Caenorhabditis elegans: one gene and its partners. The protein of the gene in region 2 interacts with the protein of the main gene of each other region in a pairwise test. Each region holds a gene or a part of one and is shown on either strand. Other genes may lie near its edges.

Region 1 (3,787 bases), on a different chromosome or scaffold from region 2:
CTTTTTCGAATCCATAGATTAAGGCGTTGTTCTTACAAAGTCTAAAATGATAATAAAAGGGATACATTCACTATGAATTATTTTTTCCACTGACTCATAAAATTTCGCGTATGTATGTTCTCTGAGCATCTCGAAAAATGTGGTTTTCTCCTCAAATTTGACAGCAGGCACAACGTATTCGCTAACATGCTTGAGCACGACTTCCAGTCCTTTCAATGAGCACGACACCTTTGCCTCTTTCTTTTTGGATTTTACATTTCCCTCGATTCGTTCTCCATTTAAAATTACAACACATATAAATTTCATGGATCCGTTCGGTTGGTTTCTGTTATAGAAATCAAAAACTGGAGTGTTGCCTGTCATATGAACATAAAGCTCTGAGAATAATGACATTGGATTCTTTCCGCTTCTTTCCACAGTTTCCTTCACAAAGTCGGGAATATTGTCATCCAAATCCATTTTCTCTGACTTTAACTCAACTTCCATACCTTCTTCGACGGACATCTGAATTACGAATAATTTTTGGAACAAAAAGTCCACATGAGGAAATGTGTAACAGTTTTACCTTGAGATATCGAAAAAACAATAGAGCAACATCGACTAGTGAACGATATTTAAGAAAAACATAGAGAAAACATAAAAGTATATAACATATTTTGTTTTTCATCTACAATTCGGAAGTTATCAGAAAAGGGGAACAAATACTAAAACCTCAAAATTAAAAATAAATCATCTGACAACAGAAAACGGAAAAGCGAAAAAGCTACGAAAAAATCAGGTATTTTAAAATGTTCTCTTCTCATTTCCCACAATTCGTATTATCTTAACGATAAAGATATTCGGCTTGAAGATTGGAAGCGAGCTCAGGCTCCCAGCGATCACCATTCAACAAGAGCTTCTCCTTATTATAGAGGAGTTCTTCGTGAGTTTCAGTCGAATATTCGAAGTTCGGGCCCTCGACAATTGCATCGACTGGGCAAGCTTCCTGGCATAATCCACAATAGATGCACTTGGTCATATCGATATCGTATCTAGTGGTACGGCGACTTCCGTCAGGTCTTGTTTCGGCCTCGATCGTGATAGCTTGAGCTGGGCAAATGGCTTCGCAAAGCTTGCAAGCAATGCATCTTTCTTCACCAGACGGGTATCGACGAAGAGCGTGTTCTCCTCTAAAATACTGATTTTTTTGTTAATAATTTTTGTTTTTTTTTAAATTAACTAAATAATTAATATTTTTAATTAAAGAATTTTCGAATATGTGTCGTGTGAAGGTGCAAGTTTGTTCAGTTTTTTGAAAACTATTAAAATACAACCAAAATATGCTTATTTTCTTCCAAGCTGATTATAACAAATGCTTTATGATTTAATTTCAATTTTTAATTTCTGTACCTGAATCTTGAACTGAGTGGTCCCTTTTCGAAGGGATAGTTGATAGTAGCTGGCTCCATGAATACGTGACCAAGCATCACTCCGAAACCTGAAAAATTGACATTTTTCCTTCACACAGTATACTTCAAAATAATTTTGATTCAAATTTAGTTTAAAATTACCTCTGAAAAGTTCGGTGAAGAAAACATTGTGAAGCCCGTAATTCAAATCTCCAGCCAGTGTTCCATCGGTTTCATTGGGCATACCAACGAATTTGTAGTTGGATCTCTTTTGAATTGTGTTGGAAGGAACACTGCTGACGGCAAGCTAAATAATTGATTATTTGAAACGTATATTTGAATGAGAAAATCTCACTTGAGCCGGAATTCTTCCAAACATGCCTTTTGTGAGCACTGCCACACTTTTCATCGCCATTTTGACAGCGTGGTTAAGTTACTGAAAAACGTATTATTGATAGACTACATTTAATTTAATTGGAATGAAGTGTTTATAATAGAAAAACATTGATAAATATAAAATTGAACACGAAAAAATATTAAAAAAGCGAGAAAGACGCAAACATGTCCTGCAGGTGCACGAGAAACGCGCCAACGATGAACCAAGGGCGCAACTTCTGCGTTCCAACAAAGTTTAATTCCCAAATATCTATTTAAATACTTTTAGCCTTTCAATTTATATATTTTATATTGTTATTATGTTTAAATATTTGTCAAATAACATAATTTTATCGTTTAGTGTTTCTAAGCACGCTTATTGTCACAATAATTTTACTTTAATGCTTTGTTTCTTGAGAAATTAGGAAAACTGTTCTCAAGTTTGCTTCCGAATATTTGTTTCTCAATTTACTTCTCATAAATATATATTCTCGGGTCGCTGCGCTCCCCCGAGAAAAGGTTTTCCCTTGTTCCTAGCTCCGTTCGAGAGAAATGAGGTACGAGAAAAGGAGGAAATTGAGTTACAGAATTTATGGGCTTTGCGTGTGGTACAGGTCGTGACAAAAGTAGAAAATTAGGGGCAGTTGGGCGCCAGGCGCCCAACTTGAACGATATGAGGGCCACGAACGGTATAAATTGGGGAAATTTAATGTGCTGACGCCGTCGTGAAGAGCCCGATCGTTCGATGTTGCCGACATGATGTTGACTGTGCAGGAGCTGCTGGTGTTGCTGATGGAGCCGACTGTGCTGAAGTACGTGCTGCAAAAACGAAAAAGGACGGACCGAAAGTACTTATTATTGGTTAAGGTGGCAAAAGAGGTAAAATGGTAAACCAACGTGAATCGATAATCCTGGCAACTCCTGTAGATCTGATACTTGAAGCTCGTCTGCTGCCCAAACAAGGATCGTCGCTTCTCAACCCTCTGTTTTCGCGTTCCACCCACGTGCGAACAATCCGAAATTTCCCTAAATCCTTGACAAGAGCCCGCGAGATCTTTCACTGCCGCTCTCCGTTATGTCTCCTGAATACCTAAAAATGGCGAACTGATCTGAAAACAAATTATGTTAATTAGGATAGTTTATAGTTTGGGGATTATGGCCGTTTCCCATTTAAAAGACCCCGAAAAAGAACTACCTGTAGTCTGTTATGAAGTAATCTCGCGACTCGTGGCCGACCGCGGTTTTCTCCACTCCGTTAGTTATCCTTTCCTTATCCAGGTCTTATCCGAAACTTGAAAACTTGTTCTTGTTGGCTCGCTGGATTCCTTCCCTGCCGTTCCAATGTCACCCTTGATACCTCTAGGGAATTTCCTGTAAACCTTCAACGCCTGCAAATCGCCAAAATTAACCTTTAGGGATATCAATTTTTGGTCGCTATTAAAAAATTTTTAAACCTTTCCTGCCACCGCCAAAAAAGACTGACAGATTACTCCTGCAATTATTTCGGAGGAATCCTGCCTGTCTACTCTGGTGGAATTGCGGAATTTTAAGAATAAGTTACCTGTCCTCGTGTTTGTCAACCTACCCACAATAGCTCGGTGTTAGAACCGCCGCTAGAATAGTGAATATAGAGTAGCAAAAATATCAGTCGAGGGGTGGGCGGGCGGGAACTCACACGTAGAATGAGGAGAAACAGGCGCCGGAGCCCGCGGGGCGCTTGTCGCGGCGAGACCCGTGCCGGAGGAAAATGCCTGCGCCTTTAGTTTGCTACTGTCTCTCTCACTCCGCTGTCACGGGAAAACATCCCATTCTCGGGTCGCTGCGCTCCCCCGAGAAAAGGTTTTCCCTTGTTCCTAGCTCCGTTCGAGAGAAATGAGGTACGAGAAAAGGAGGAAATTGAGTTACAGAATTTATGGGCTTTGCGTGTGGTACAGGGTAGAACAAGAAAAGCCTCGGGGCTATAAGTGACCGTGTGGTTTCAACTAAAAAATTCTAATGAAGCCTCTGTCAACCGATAACGCAAG
Region 2 (3,988 bases):
TGTCGTCTCATTGTAATTCTAAATTGGAAAGTTTAATTTTTGAACAATAAAACAAGTGGGGCACTCACAGTGCAGCAGACTTGGCATTTGAGAAACTCCTCGAGAAAATCACCTATCAGCGGGAATGCAGGCGACGCAGCCGAACTATCTGGAATTTTCGAATTTTGGAACCAGATCTTATAAAAACGAAAAATTACCTGTTACAGATGCCACATCCGCAGGCATTTCACTTTTTGTTGCGGACATTTATGGCTGAAAATGCTAAATTAAGTAGGTGATTTTTGGGAAAGAAAGGAGAAAAAAATTCAAAACTTCTTCCAAAACTTTCTACAGTAATCTTAAAGGCACATGAACAACCATGTTTGAATTATGATTTCGCGGCGAGACCTTTCCAAATAAATGTGGTTCCCTTGAAAGTCCTGAATTTTTGAATGAGAAAAAAAAACACTTTTGAAGAGAAACAAAAGCGAAAATAAAATAAAGGAAATCGCACAGATTTTTCAGGGGAAAACAAGAAGAGATCTTTATTTTCTCTATTAAAACATGTAAAACAATACAAAAATTTCAGGCGGAGACGGGATAAAATTGAATTATATAGTAATTTATTCTTCATTCAGAAGAGCAGAGAGCAGAAGAAATCTGTGAAGAACTCTGCCGGCTTCTTCTATGTGCGAATTCGGAAAGTCTTCAGTGGAAACTGAGCTGAGTGAAGATTCATTGTCGGAGAATTCTTTTTCGTCGTCGGAAAAGTCGAGGTTCCCGTTTTCCTGGAATTTTTTTCTTAATTTCAGCTGTTTTAGTTTAAAAAATAGCCGTCTGACAATAAATTTACATACATCTCCAAAAAGGCAGCGAAAACTTTTGTACGTCTCCTCTTCATCTGTTTCAGGCATAACCAATGTGGGATAGTAGTCATCGGAACATTCGGAGATATTATCCTGAATTAGAAAAAAGATTAACAATCGAATTCAAAGTCCTACTAACGTCATCGGAAAACGGACAAAAATGATCATTCTCATGATTCCCAAAACTGCCGGAAGTTGTGGAAACCTGCGAAATGCTGTCGTTGTCCTGCAAACATTTTTTCTAAAATATAAACTTGTCGACAGTGACACTTACATTTCCAAAAAGTCCTCGAAAACGTCGGTAGGCGGCCGCCTCCTCAATACCTGAAACCACACCTGGATCATCTAGTTCGTTTTCCTGAAAGATTTTTTCTATTCTAAATGTTTAACTCGATGAAAACTAACGTCTCCAAAAAGACGACGAAAATTGCGATAGAAACCGCCACCCAGTGTTCTGTCCGGGACAGTAGTATTTGATTCTAGAAAATCTGTTGAGTCTTCTGTAGTCTCAGAATCGCTGTCCTGAAAATTTTCAAATCAAGGGAGCATGGAAAATATCAACTAACTCTTGCTGCCAAGAACCTTAGCATAGTTCGAACTCGCTGATCCTCAGAATTCGCATCAGAATTGTCGTCAGAATCGTAATAACATTCAGAAACAGCCCCTGCCAAGGCTTCAGCCATGTTGCTGACCTCTCGCTCGGCTTCTGCTGAAAAAATTCAGTTTTTATAGAAAATACTTATACACATTTGGCTTTGCCTAGACTCCATAGCTGTGATTTGATGCGGAAAACGTCAAAATGGTGAATGAGACTGCTTTTTACTTCAACAAGCAGCTCGCGGAATTTATTATCAATCATTTCATCTCTATTCGTTTTATTTGAGCAGCAACTAGAGGAAGTTCGCGGAGCGTCAACTGGAGGACCCAGAAGCCCGAAATTCCTTGCCAATTCTGAGAAAAAACGTGGATTTCAATACTCAAAAGAGGTAAAACTTACCCATAATTGAAAAATTTGGTGCTACATTTTCGATGTTGCTTTTAGTTTCCGCACGGCAAGTAGGGCACTCTAAATGTGGGGAATTACCGTAGTTTTGCACGTTTCTGATGCATTCTGTGCAGAAAGTGTGGCCACAGTGCAAGGACCGAGCCAATTTTGTGGTTTCATTAAAAGGCTGCAAACATATTTTGTAGAAAATTGAGTAAAACTAGGAAATTAGTACCTGATAGCAGACTTGGCACTGGCAGTACCCAGCCAAGACTGTTGATAGAATTTCTGGATTTTCGGTATTTTTTTCTGAAATGAAATTTAATAAATTTTAATACAAACTCGAGATTGTCAATCTTACCGCTCATTTTCACGGAGATAAATACCTAGAAATTCTGAAACAAAAAGAAAGCTGGAATTTGCCTGGACACAAGCCTGGAAAACAAAAACAAATTTGGGGAGTCTAGCGGAGCGCGTTTACTGTAATTATTTTTGTCTTTTCAAAGTTTTTCATAAAACTAAACTGAATTGTCATTCCTTTTTTGTTTTTAAAATATAAATCAGTTTATTATAAAAAAATTACATTATTAATAATATTAATAATTATATATTGCGACACAAATTTTTCTCAAATTTAAAATTATTTCAGAAGTCAAGACGAAAAAACAAAGCTATTCATTATTCGAAACAATTTTTATTCGATTTTATGATAATATATATATTATTAAATTCCAAAAAGACTGTAAAATGTAAAACTCTCTCTAGCGTAGCATGTGACTTGTCGATTCCCATAAAAAAATAACCATTTAAACATCCGCGCAAAGAAATTCGCATTGGAGCGCACCTGCCTCACTCGTGCTTGTTTCGTTTTTTTATTCTCATTCAATTTCACAACCGTTTTTATCATTATTTTCCGGAAAATCTTAAGAGTTTCTCGTTTAGAATCTTATAAATAATGGAACGTAAAAAACACAAACGCCTAAATGATACGATTATGAAGCCGGAGGACATGAAAAAGGCGAAACTGAACCATAAACTCCCGACGACTAGTGGAGGCACTGGCGGACCGTCAACTTCTGGAGGAGTTAAAGCGAAGTTGGATTTTAGATCAAAAACTTGTATTCCACCAAAGCCAACGCTAAGTAATTCCGGTAAAAATTTTCAATTTTTCCCAGAAAACACCTAATAATTAAACAAATTTCCAGCAAATCCATCCCTACAATCCAGCCATCTCGTTCGCCCCAATCTCGATGATCAATGGAAAGATTTTGGAGATACAATCAATTTAAACATCGAAACCTTCCAGAAAAGCGTACAGGAGGCGATTTTAGCGGGCCATTTTACAAAAATCGCTAAAATGTTCGTCGCCGCGCTCAAGAGCTTCTTTGTCGGAGAAAAGTTGAAAGTGGAGCTCAGAATAATGGGAACAATTGCGGAAACCGTAAAAAATCATGGGGATAAGCTAAATGTTGGTTCAAATCTAACAAAAACTTGGAGAATAATTCTAATCATTGAAAAATTTTCAGCAAATTCCTCTCCACCGCGCTCTGCTCTTCGTAATTTGCAATTCTCGATCATATCCTGACAATATTCTCGAACTATTCATCTCAATAATCACTTCACTTGCAAGGCAACAACCAATTCTTGATAAATGTTATCTAACAGCATTTCTCCATGATTCTATTGGAATGAGCGTTGGACTCGGCACAATGAATCGATGCTCCTGGATTGAAAAAGAGTGCTCGGCAGAGCTTGTGAAAATGATTTTGGATCCGTTTGAAACTGTCTATCCATTTCCGGCAATGTATGCGCAGTGCCAGGTTGAGAATTTTGCCATTTCCGAATTTTTGAGCTTCTTCTCTGAAAAAGTGGGGAAGTCGAGGGAAAAAAGGTAATAAATTTACGATTTTTTAGAAAAAATTTCGCTTATATTTTTCCTAATTTAAACAGAAACAAAAAGCAGCATCTACAAACAACGGTGTAATACTAGCTGAAAAGCATTTAAAGTTTATCAAAATCTCAGAAGAAATTTTTATTCTGTGTTAGAAAAGTGGAAATAAAAAAAACAGTTTAAAGAATAAGTCAAATTTTAATTTTAATACATTTTTGATTTCAGTCCCCGCTCGAATCTTCACCAAAAGCAGTTAGACGTCTTTCT
Region 3 (6,532 bases), on a different chromosome or scaffold from region 2:
AGAACACATCCAAACAACTCGGTTCCTGTGTACTATTGCATCTTGTGACCTACAAACTAGTCAAGGATCTTTGAATTTTTACCATAAGTACCCTTCAATAATATCTCCCAGCTCCACCAATTCAATCAAGTTCAAGATTTCAAATTGATTGATGTCGACAAATTAATTGAGAGTACAACTCGATCCGCCCTCATCAAATCCTAATCCATCACTCGTAATACATCGACCTTCTTCATCAGATCTTCCCTGTTTTTTGTGCACCACTCATCATTATTATCTCTTTCCACCAGACTCTTCTCTTTCAGTCGACTCTTCGGCTCAACTTTGATCCCTTATTGTGACCCGTTGTGGGGTGTTAAAAAAGTTTATTGATGAGTTATGACAAGTCTTTGTGGTGAGACTGAGAACGATGAGGTGGGGGAGGAAGGTATGAAGGTGGAGCCATTGTGTGCACAAAGTGGTTGCTACTGGTGGTGAGTAAATCAACACCTGATGAGCTGTTCAAAAAACAGAAGCAGAAGAAGAACCAGTCACTTTACTCTTTGCAATGTTTTCAGCTTTGCTTTCTTATTTCTATGATACTAGTATTACGTTAGTTTCGCATTATATTTTTTCAGAATTTTAGCTTGAATTTGTTCACTTATAATTCGCATATCACTACATATAACTTGAAATAGAAATGGAAATAGTTAATAAGATAATGATGGAAAGATCAATTGAATGACTAAAAATAAAACAATTAGAACTTCTGAATGAGTTTAGAGGTAGATTATTGGCTACTGGACCTTCGTAACAGTATCTATTTGTAAATACTTATAGTAGTTTTTGTAATTAGTCTTTACTTATACTAGGGCAATACAAAAATATATTCTGAATCGCTACAGTTTGGATGAAATCTCAATAAAAACTAGGCTCCAATTTTTAACCTTTTCCAAGTGTTCAGAAACTTTATTTCTACAGTTTAGAGTTTACTTATATTTTCCTATTCCACTGCATTAATTTTCTCATAATAGAACATGTGAGTAGATAATTTCTATGTGATTTATGTGATACGTTTGGCATATGTTGTACTTTTTCTCAGTTGCACACTTATCAGCTTGTGACCTGGTGGCACTCAACCCTTGCCGTCTCTCGAGATACATTGTACCGCAATAAAGATTTGAAAAACAATACGACATTAGCAAGAGCTGGTCCAAACTTGTGCAAGGTATGAGTGGCGTTTCTATTGAGAAAACACGGTCTACTGTATTTTAAATATCTTGATAAATGTTATTTGCTCTGTTAGTATAAACTTTACCAATTATGTCATTGCCAACAGCTATATTCAACTACGTCACGAATCCTATGTCTCACTTCTTTGCAACAAAAACCCTTGATCTTTTTAATCACATCTTTAAATGAGAGTTGATCTCATTAAACTACTCATTTGCTCAAGAAAATTCTGCACTCAATGCTGAATTGCTTTGTCCGTGTTTAAGTACCTAATTCCATGATCCAGACACATCTTATCTCATTCCGAACATTCCCGAACTTTCGTGTCATCCTTCACTTCACTTTGTCACTTCTCAAAAAGTTGTCGTTTCTTCTTGCTTGTCGACCCAAAAAATCATCGAGATTTTTGCAGGAATGCTGAGTCCTGCATTGCTCAAAGTGTCACTCAATCGAAGGTTCGTCAATGATTTTTTGTAGCTGCACTCATTGTTTGTTTTATGTTTCAATCTTTGTGTTTTCAGAAGCTCCGCTCCTGTACCACAAGATGAGGTGAGCCAATTGGTATTGAAGAAGGATAGAACTCTGATCAAATGGAAAAAAGAGGAAGAAGGGGAGGGGGTTAAGATGGATAAGATGGAAATGCTGGAGGGAAGAAGAAGATGGAAGGTTTCATTGGCGGGTACCTTTGAGAACCATTCCCGTGCTTTGGTCACTTGTCCTGATTTTTTCTTCACTACAACCTGATTTTATGGAGCTATATTCTCAAACAGAAGTTGATAGATAAAGTGTATCACCATTCCGTTTAAAAACTGTATTTGTAAAAGATTTATGTCTCAGTTCCTTAACATTTTTGGTAGTAGTCCTCGAACCTCGAAGCTACAAATAATAATTTGCTCTATTTATATGATACTTCCACTTCAAAACATTCATATTTTAACATAATATATTTATTTCAGAAAATGATGTTCCATTCGCGAAACCGGGCTGCATCATATTTGCAGCCGATGATAGAAGATCAGGAATTGATTGGATTCAACAGAGATAGAAGTGAGTTCATAATTTCTTTTTGCCTCTCTCCCGATTCTCGTAAAAAATGAGAATAAACAGCAAAATGTGTAGTAAAGGTTGAATAACGTGTGAATACCACGATGGCAGCTTCAATGTTCTTCTTTTAAAATAAGTTATTAACTTTATAAAAAAAACCAGAGAACAATTCAGATTGATTCTCAGAAAAAAAAGAATACTTCCGTCTATTTCTAAGTTGTCATAACTATCTTTATCAGGAAGAAGTTCCGGCTCAATAATCGTCGACAGTTTTGAACTCGGAAATGCTTCGCCAAGTCGCCGCGGTTCAATTGCATCTGGCATTCCAATGGACAAAAAAACCCGACGGAAGCTGTCAAATCCGGTAGGTTTTCTATGTTGTTAGCTCCCATCAACAATTGGAAAAACAAAATGAAAGATAAAATGATAAATGCGTTCGAGCATGATACCAATCTGATGAAAAGAAGAAACAATCTATCTCATATTGAGTCGGCATACCAACTGACGTTGGAGTCTCTACTTTTTTGATTTAAACGAAAAAAAGAAAGAAAAGATATCTGAGAGCCGATGATGGTCGTCTTTGATTCACTATTCATCAGATGATCCACTGACGAACATTTTCTCACCTTTCCCTGAGATGTGCCAGCCTATCAGTTTCATTTTTACCGAGTTACCGACCTTTTTTTTTCGTAATTTTTAGTTGCTTTTCGGGGATTTTTTTGACTACGAAATTTTCTCAGTAATTTTTTATTTTTCTTCCTTTGAAGAAAACATTTTGCTCGATTTCCATTGTTGCTCGAGGTTATTCACAGTTTTCTGAATGTGAAAAATTATGAGAAAACGCGGCTCCCATTCTTTCAGACTTTCTCTCAAACCTTCAGTATTTTGAAACATTTCAAAAACTCGCAGAGCATTCGTATTATGGTAACTTGTCCAGGCGACCGGCAGTTAGTTTCATATTCGTCCAATCTTTCCAATCTAGTTTCAGCCGAAAACCACTGCTTTCCCAAGTATACATATATTTAAAAAATAAGAAAAGAGAACTAACTATTAACAGAAAAAGAACGGGTAACTGAATATCCTTCTGCATTTAGTTTGATGTATCCTTCAAAAAGATAAGGAACAAAAAGTGACCAGCACATACATATATCGGATGTCTCGTTTGCAACTTTTGGCCTCCCATCCCATTTCCTGTCACCTCGTGACCTCATCGTTAGATCGAAAACCATTTGAGTGCAGTCAATGTTTTTGACACACTTCAGATACTCGCCATAAATCTTTTGAATCTTACTTCTCCATTCAATCTTTTCGGCTCTATTTCTTCATTTGTTTCTTTCTTATCAATTGTTCACACAGCCTGAAAATGTTCTCCAAGTCGAGCAATCGGTTCGGAACAACTTCTATATTTGGGGATCAGTCTATTAAAGATGAATACCGTAACCGACAGAGACGTCTTTCTCTGATTGGTGGACCTATAAGTGGAACATCTCCAAATCGACGAGAATCACTTGTTCGAGAGTTAAGAACTGTAAGTTCAAAGAGTCTTTAGTCGCCAGCTGTTGTCAGTTCAAGCTTGTTAACAACAAATTACATGGGGGGCCAACATTTGTCAAAAAATTGCTTCCATTTTGTTATTAGTACGAACAGAAATTGAAAAAAAGAAGTAAAAAACTTGAGTCTCAATTTCCTGATTTATTTAGTTCTACCACTAATACTTCAATGTATTTCCTAAGGATACACAGAAAATCTCAAGATTCTATAAAAAGTTGGTATTCAGAGACTAAAATTCATAAAAGACCGGTACGTTTTTTGCATGCCGTTTGGCCCAGTTTGTGTTTTAAACCCTATGTATAGCAATGTTTATTTTTAATGCTATATTTTCACAGTATAATAATTTGAAAATTTTAATTGTATTGTTATATCCGGTCAAAGGTTGACAACAGCCACACAAGCCATGTGTTTAATGTCGTTAACAACAAGATGAATGGGAAATTAATTGCTCCGCAAGCTTCTCCTTCAGAACAATACATTTATTTTCAGGTATCTCTTCATCAATACACAGAAGATCCAACACTTGCATGGGAAATGCTGAAAGAAAAAAGACCAGTGAAACCAGTTCGTCAGATGAGACTTGATACTCCAGTAAAACCAGATCATGTGAGATTTGTATGTATTGGATGTACACATGGAGAACAATTTGATATATCAAAACTCCCACCTGGAGATGTTCTCCTCGTGGCTGGAGACTTCACATCATGCGGTCTTCCAAATGAAGTTCACAATTTTAATAAGTTACTTGGAAAACTGAAATACTCTTACAAAGTGGTGATAGGTGGAAATCACGAATGCACATTTGACGACACATTTTTGAAATTGAGTAAGTTCAACTCCAATAAACCATTAACGATCAATCACCACAACAAAATTTGCAGAACAAGAGTCTGAACCAAAAGAAATGGCACTGAAACAAGCATTGTTATCAGCAATTCATTCTGATTCAAAGGGTGGAATTTCAGCGAAAGTAAGCATGATTTCAATTTATGAAAGTATACAATTTTTTGTAGGATTTGTTATCAAATGCAATTTATTTGGAGGATAATGTAATCGAACTGTTTGGAATCACAATTTATGGAACGCCATGGTAAGGATTGCAAGTTTTCTGAAAAAATTGTGGTAGATTCAAGTCGAAATTTGAAACAATTGTCACCTTCGACAAGTATTATCATTATATATTTTGTAGATCAATAAAAAATATAAGTTCGAATTGAATATTCTTTCTCACAGCATAATTCTATGAGTTCCATATTGAACCCATTGTATCAAAGCACAATTTCAAAAATTGCAGGCAACCAAAAGTAGACAATTGGGCATTCAATCTCTCTCGTGGACAACAACTATTGGACAAATGGAACCTGATCCCGGCGGGCGTTGACGTGCTTTTAACTCATACACCTCCACTTGGTAAGTTCAAAGTACCACAAATAGTAAAACACAAATTTTGTGCAGGACACGGCGATATGATGAACAATGGACAGAGAATGGGATGTGCCGAGTTGTTGAACACAGTTTTCAAGCGGGTTCGACCAAAGTATCACGTTTTTGGACACATTCATGAGGGCTACGGATGCACAACTGATGGATATACAAAGTTCATTAACTGCTGCATGTGTAATGAAAATTTGGATTTAAAGGTGATCATTCGTGAATTTTGACTTATTGAGAAAAATTGGGCATGACTCTGGGACGACTTTATTCAAGCAGCACACAAATTTAGACTATCCATGATTATTAAATTTGACAATTTCATCGTTAAAAATTTTCAGAACGAGCCAGTAATATTCGATATCCCAGTGCACCCTCACACCAAACAATTCTACATTCAAAATGTGAAGAAAATTCATAAAAGATTCCAAAAGAAGAAATAAATTAAATTCCTCTCACTGTCACCTCTGTGTCATTTTGTAGTTATAATTATACCACCACTTTTTAATTTTTTTTGCTCTTTTTCCACACCACGACCATCATCATCTATTTTTCTCACTCATTGAGCCCTCCTCCAACCCCATAAGAACAAAATAATATCCCATCCGGAAATGAGTCTTTATGAACTCGATGCGCAGTCAACAGCACCACAAAAAGAGCAAGAGAAGGTTGATTGTGCTTCTGCTGCGACAGCTTCTGCAACTGCTTCTTCTCGTCTTCCAATTCTTCTTCTTTCACCAAAATTGCTCCCGCTAACCAGCAATAAAACATTCCAATTTGTGAGCCTCTTTCGAGTCAAACATTATGAAATTCAATACCAAATTATGCTGCAACCTCCTCTTTTGCCCTCTGAAATCAGATATTGGCCATGTGTGGTGCGGTTCCGGCAGTGCCGGCTTCTTGCTCCACACAGACAAATCTCTTTTGTTATTCATCGATGTCTTTTCTCAGAGATATCATCAACATTAGACTTTTTTCGATTTTACTGAAATTCATTATTTCTAGACCAGAAATATCTGAAACAGGGTGAAATCTAGTCAGAATGATTTCCACCCAGAGTTGTTTCATATAGTCTGTAATTTTTTAGATACAATATTTTTCTTACGTCAGACAGTATCCACCGTGTCAGTTGAGAATACACATAGGTTTTAGTTTTAAATCACCACAAAAGCTAACAAGCGCCACATTCAGTTGCACGTAGAAATTAATCTCTGACCTAGAATATATGATAGAATAGAAAAAGGAACCAATCCATTAGGAATAATGAAAATTCTTTGGCAATTTTTTCCGAAAT
Region 4 (4,577 bases), on a different chromosome or scaffold from region 2:
GAAGTGATAACTCCACAGGATTTCAAATATCTGGCCACTTTTGATTCAGTATCCTTATCAGAACTGGCAGCCAACGCGGAACAAACTAAGAAAACTGATAAAATGATAATAGATTTCATGTTGTTTTCTCGTCGGTTTTTCTTTATCAGACACGTTGCTTTTATATACCAAGTTTAGAGGTCAATTGATATGAATTCAAATGAAAAAAAAACATATGAAAAAGGGTTGGGATCGGGATATTGTAGGTGTGTTTGTGATAAGGATGACGTTCCGAGACCAATTAATTCTACTTTCTGTTCGATTTGTAAACAACGAAATTCTCGTTATCTCGGATTCTGGAAATCTAACATTTACCCTGACCTCGAAAGGACAGGGTTCTCCAAAAATTGTTCACTGGGTCTTTTGCAAGGCCCTGAGAGCGTTTATAAATAGCGGCAATACCACTGACGAGAGGACAGTTATATGCCCGAGTGTCCGGACATCTCGAGGGTTCCGCTCGTCACTATGCTTTACGTGCAAACATGGCACTCGAGTCCCCTAGCCGCAATAAATAAATTTTTTTTTTTATTAACTTGAATATTTGATACAAACATAAACAAAATAAAATGGAACATGAGATCTTATTTTACAGATAATACTGGGGGGATATAAAAACTACTATTATTAAACCACGAATTATTGAGCGCGTTTTTTTGGAATGCGGAATGACCACCAGGCAGGTTTTTCGTGAGGAGTCGGAAAAATCTGAAATATTAACATTTTCATAAAGCTTTATTGATTTAATTTCCGTTGTATAAGGATATTAAAATTTGCAAAAAAAGTTGAAAAAATTCCACATACTTTCTGCTTCTTGCTTCCAGTGATTTCCTGTGACTGTTCAGTGTCCCTGTGTTTTGTTGGCGGTCTTCCACACATTCTACGTGCCGGATTATCTGGAACAAAAACAATTTATCTGAAAATCGGAAAACTAAACTCGATGAAGATTCGGCAGAAAAAAATTCGGAACTACAGTAATCTTTAAAGGCGCACACCCGTTAAACCTGTGCTTAAAACAAGTTTGTCGTGTCTAGACTAAATACCGTATTATTGTAGCCAAAATTGCAAAATTTCGCGAAATTAAATCGTGTCTTTCATTAATGTTGATGTGAGTTTACTTACCACACTGTGAAGTTGGACGATCACTGTTGACAATCACAGAATTTAAAAACTCTAAATCATCGTCGGTGCTTAAATCTTCGTATACTCCTGGTGCTGAAATTTGTAATATATTGGAAAATTGACTTCTCTTGGATTTCCGTACCAAATGCAACTGATTTTTTTGGTTTAGAAGCCACGCTGATTCCTGATCCACTTTTTTTGAGAATTCCAGAATTATTCGACGATTTCTCAATTTGGCAGTTCTTACTCGCATTTTTTTGAGTTTTCTTATTTCCCTTATTGCGTCTATCAGCTTCGTCATTGGAGTCGACAGATTTTTCTCTTTCTTTGGGCTTTGAGGAATACTTGGAGTTAGCTTTCCGGAGCTTTGCCTGGAAAATAATCAGTAAAATTCCATGTTTTTAAAAATTACTAACATAGAAAGGTTCCCTCTTTTTCAAATATTCTCGAAGATTCGAAAAAGCTTCATTCACTACTTCGTCTTGTTCTTTTTGTGGAAGACTCTTGAAACGTGCACCTACTGATCTCTCTGCATTGTCTCGAATTCCTGAAATTAACTATTTAGTTTTTTATTGGAAAACATTGATGTAAAAGCTTTCCTGCAGAAAAATACATAAAATATATTAAAACGAACTGTATCTCGGCAAAAAATATGGGCCATCGGCAATTTTTTTCGATGTATTTCTGTTCTGTGAACGACCGGCGATGCGACCAACTGTTTTTCGTTGTTCATCTGAAAAAAAATCCCAAAAAATGTTCATTTGTAATGTTTAACAATGAATTGGTGTTTATAGAGTTGTTTTCCTCAAAAATAAACATTTATTAAAGTTTTTTTAAATTGTTATTCCGCTTTTAGCATTGAAGCTACTGACGAATTCAAATTTAGCAAGATATAATAGATTAAAAAAATAAATTACCTGTTAATATTATAATATTGTCGTTATTAGAACGAATTCTGGACATTTTCAGCAAAAAAAACCAGATGATAAGTATGCTTTTTCGGGAGAAAAACAGTTTGCTTTATTAAGGTACGATCTTAAAGGCGCATATCGCAAAACGAGAAGATGGTATCGCAACGACTTGCTTTGTTTTGTAGAAACTTATCAGGCCTGGATTGGATTTAGGAAGTAGTTTTCGAATATTAAGACAGAAAGACTGTTTTTTAGACTTTCATTGTTTTAAACTTGCGGAAAGTTTTGAATTCTACACAAAATGAACTAATTTTGCAACAAAAATGGTGTCTTTTGGAAATGGTTCATTAATTACCGCGAATTTGCTCATATTTGAGGATTTTGTAAGAGAATAATTTTGAAAAAAAAACCGTAATTACTGAATATAACAGACTTTTCAGCTGAAAAAAAATTAATATTTGTACAGTTTCCATGTAATAAATGTAGTTAATCCACCAAATCGAACAACTAGACAAATGGCACCTGATTGCTTGCTGAGCAGCTGCCGCTGAAAACGTTTGACGTCACATCCACAATCTTAGTTCTCTCTACTTTGCTTCTAGCTTGTCTGCTGCTCTTTTCATTTTGAGCTCCGAATGTTAATCCAGAACATATTCCTCTTACTTTTTCCAATTTCAACTGTTTTTTCAAGTAATGGAGTGAACTATTTCAAGTCAGAATGTTCATTTTTTCCCGGACGTAGTAATATAAAGTATTGCAGGTTATTTGTAAGTTTTGATGGGTGTCTTTGGCTTTTTTAAATGCTGAATAATTTTAAGGAAGGTGCTAAATATTATTGGAGGCATAATTCAATTGCGTGGAATCCGGAACAGACCAAAAATATGAGTCTTGTTGAACTCAGAAAGCATTGTGATGATTATTTTGTAAGATTTGTTTGTAATACATATGGAAATACAGGCATGTAAAAGTATTCGCTAGATCTTGAGATCTCAGCTCACGATAAAATTTTCAAATAAGTGGGGTTTTGGATATTTTTTTGAATTTAAAAAACAATATTTTTCTAGCTCAGTGTGCTCCATTTCCGCTAAATAAAATTTATTTCGGTACTTCTGTATTATTTCCCCTCATTTTAATATTATCCATTTTAATAAAACGTGATGTCCATTTTCATTCTTTAGGCTTAGAAAGGGTTATTTCCTAAGCCTAAAAATACAAAAACACCACACGTTTTTATTTAAAAGTTTATTTTAAAAACTGAGGGGAAATAATACACAAGTACCTTTATTTCCAGATTTCCACTCAAAACACTTCCAAACAACCAAATTTCATAATAAGAGCTCTTAATAATCGTTCTAAAATGTTTTCAAGTGGTTCAAAATTTCAAATTTTAAAAAGTTAAATTTAGCTGAAATCTCATTTTGACATTTTCACAATGCCTTCAGGTTTGCATGGAAAATACGGGATGCTACATGGATTTTGTCAATTATCAGGAACTGGACAAGTGCATTGATGACGTATTTCATCTAGGACCAATGTATTATTGTGAGAAAACATTGAAGGAAGTTATTGAGAAAACCCCGGATCAAGTTTCTGAATGTGTTAAGGATTATCTCAAAAATGTACTCTTTAGCATTTTGCATTGATTCTGTAAGTTTAATTTCAGAAAAATCCGGACAAAGTCGACTGCGTGAGCATCCAGACAAAAAGTAAATGCTTTCTCGAAGATGTTGGGAAGCATTGTGGTTCTGATTTTTTGAGTCTGTACAAGCAGGTGAAAATTTGATTTTATTAATTTCTGCAGATCTCTTTAACTTATAATGCTACAGCACATAAATATTCGTCTCTACAATCGTGCTTGCGATGGACGTCTTCGATATAAAGATCGGGTTCGTGGAGATGATAATAGCATGCAAAGAGGGATAATTACAAAAGAAGATGTTGAAAGGGATTTCGGAAGTAATTCAACACAAATTTCGGCTTAATTTCAGTTCATTTTTTTCCGAATGGTTTTTTGGCACGTTTTAATAAAACAATTTGAAAAAATTTCGTGCTACATAGAATTCCATTAAACTTCAAGATGCTAGATTATTGAAAAAATATTTATGTATACCTAATTATATGTAGTTCCACGTTGTTGTTTTTTACAAAACTATTTGGAGTTATTAGATTTATTAAAGAAATGACACAGGCATTAAGAAAGAAACTATAGGATCACAGAAGCAAGAAATTTACTCTTTCTTGTCGGCTTTCTTTGTAACCTTGGAACTTGGCGCACTCTGTTCCTCATCGCGGGACAGTGTTGAGCTTTGACTATCACGTATCACGAAACTTCTCGATCTTTTTCTAGCAATCCTATTGTTCCGACAGTCGCGTAAGTGCCTTGTCAGTCGCTGAATAAAATAGTTCTGAAGAATTTCGCATCGAAAGTCGCGTTCTTTCATGTCGAGAAGCTTCCGGCGCTTTGAAACTGCCAGATTGAGCATTATTCTTGGGTGAACTTTCATCGAG

Evidence for each region.
Region 1: the proteins of rnf-1 (region 2) and ndus-8 interact in a two-hybrid assay, tested with the Caenorhabditis elegans proteins (one large-scale study listed by BioGRID).
Region 3: the proteins of rnf-1 (region 2) and T07D4.2 interact in a two-hybrid assay, tested with the Caenorhabditis elegans proteins (one large-scale study listed by BioGRID).
Region 4: the proteins of rnf-1 (region 2) and him-5 interact in a two-hybrid assay, tested with the Caenorhabditis elegans proteins (one large-scale study listed by BioGRID).

What each region holds. Positions count from the first base shown.
Region 1 is NC_003281.10:7,232,379-7,236,165, forward strand, and holds ndus-8 (putative NADH dehydrogenase [ubiquinone] iron-sulfur protein 8, mitochondrial), read right to left. Parts: upstream 1,825-3,787; 5' UTR 1,804-1,824; coding exon 1,744-1,803; intron 1,696-1,743; coding exon 1,551-1,695; intron 1,478-1,550; coding exon 1,390-1,477; intron 1,170-1,389; coding exon 824-1,169; 3' UTR 548-823; downstream 1-547. Other genes in the region: Double-stranded RNA-specific adenosine deaminase adr-2, read right to left, coding at 1-41, 95-504.
Region 2 is NC_003279.8:6,009,273-6,013,260, forward strand, and holds rnf-1 (RING-type domain-containing protein), read right to left. Parts: upstream 2,315-3,988; 5' UTR 2,199-2,314; coding exon 2,192-2,198; intron 2,140-2,191; coding exon 2,066-2,139; intron 2,018-2,065; coding exon 1,843-2,017; intron 1,797-1,842; coding exon 1,605-1,796; intron 1,555-1,604; coding exon 1,412-1,554; intron 1,368-1,411; coding exon 1,251-1,367; intron 1,204-1,250; coding exon 1,120-1,203; intron 1,072-1,119; coding exon 985-1,071; intron 939-984; coding exon 837-938; intron 768-836; coding exon 603-767; 3' UTR 510-602; downstream 1-509. Other genes in the region: C06A5.8 (RING-type domain-containing protein), read right to left, coding at 1-18, 69-148, 198-246; ints-1 (Integrator complex subunit 1 RPB2-binding domain-containing protein), read left to right, coding at 2,786-2,981, 3,036-3,298, 3,357-3,721, 3,947-3,988.
Region 3 is NC_003280.10:8,869,035-8,875,566, reverse strand, and holds T07D4.2 (UPF0046 protein T07D4.2), read left to right. Parts: upstream 1-1,624; 5' UTR 1,625-1,626; coding exon 1,627-1,667; intron 1,668-1,733; coding exon 1,734-1,761; intron 1,762-2,168; coding exon 2,169-2,259; intron 2,260-2,495; coding exon 2,496-2,620; intron 2,621-3,612; exon of another isoform or gene 3,613-3,619; coding exon of another isoform or gene 3,620-3,784; intron 3,785-4,296; coding exon 4,297-4,633; intron 4,634-4,688; coding exon 4,689-4,777; intron 4,778-4,820; coding exon 4,821-4,897; intron 4,898-5,101; coding exon 5,102-5,217; intron 5,218-5,262; coding exon 5,263-5,447; intron 5,448-5,579; coding exon 5,580-5,681; 3' UTR 5,682-6,018; downstream 6,019-6,532.
Region 4 is NC_003283.11:14,088,425-14,093,001, reverse strand, and holds him-5 (High Incidence of Males (increased X chromosome loss)), read right to left. Parts: upstream 2,577-4,577; 5' UTR 2,122-2,576; coding exon 2,076-2,121; intron 1,892-2,075; coding exon 1,793-1,891; intron 1,706-1,792; coding exon 1,575-1,705; intron 1,530-1,574; coding exon 1,301-1,529; intron 1,252-1,300; coding exon 1,159-1,251; intron 933-1,158; coding exon 841-932; intron 745-840; coding exon 676-744; 3' UTR 548-675; downstream 1-547. Other genes in the region: D1086.3 (T20D4.11-like domain-containing protein), read right to left, coding at 1-119; D1086.5 (T20D4.11-like domain-containing protein), read left to right, coding at 2,705-2,836, 2,888-2,992, 3,512-3,688, 3,733-3,840, 3,896-4,051; D1086.19 (uncharacterized protein), read right to left, coding at 4,298-4,577.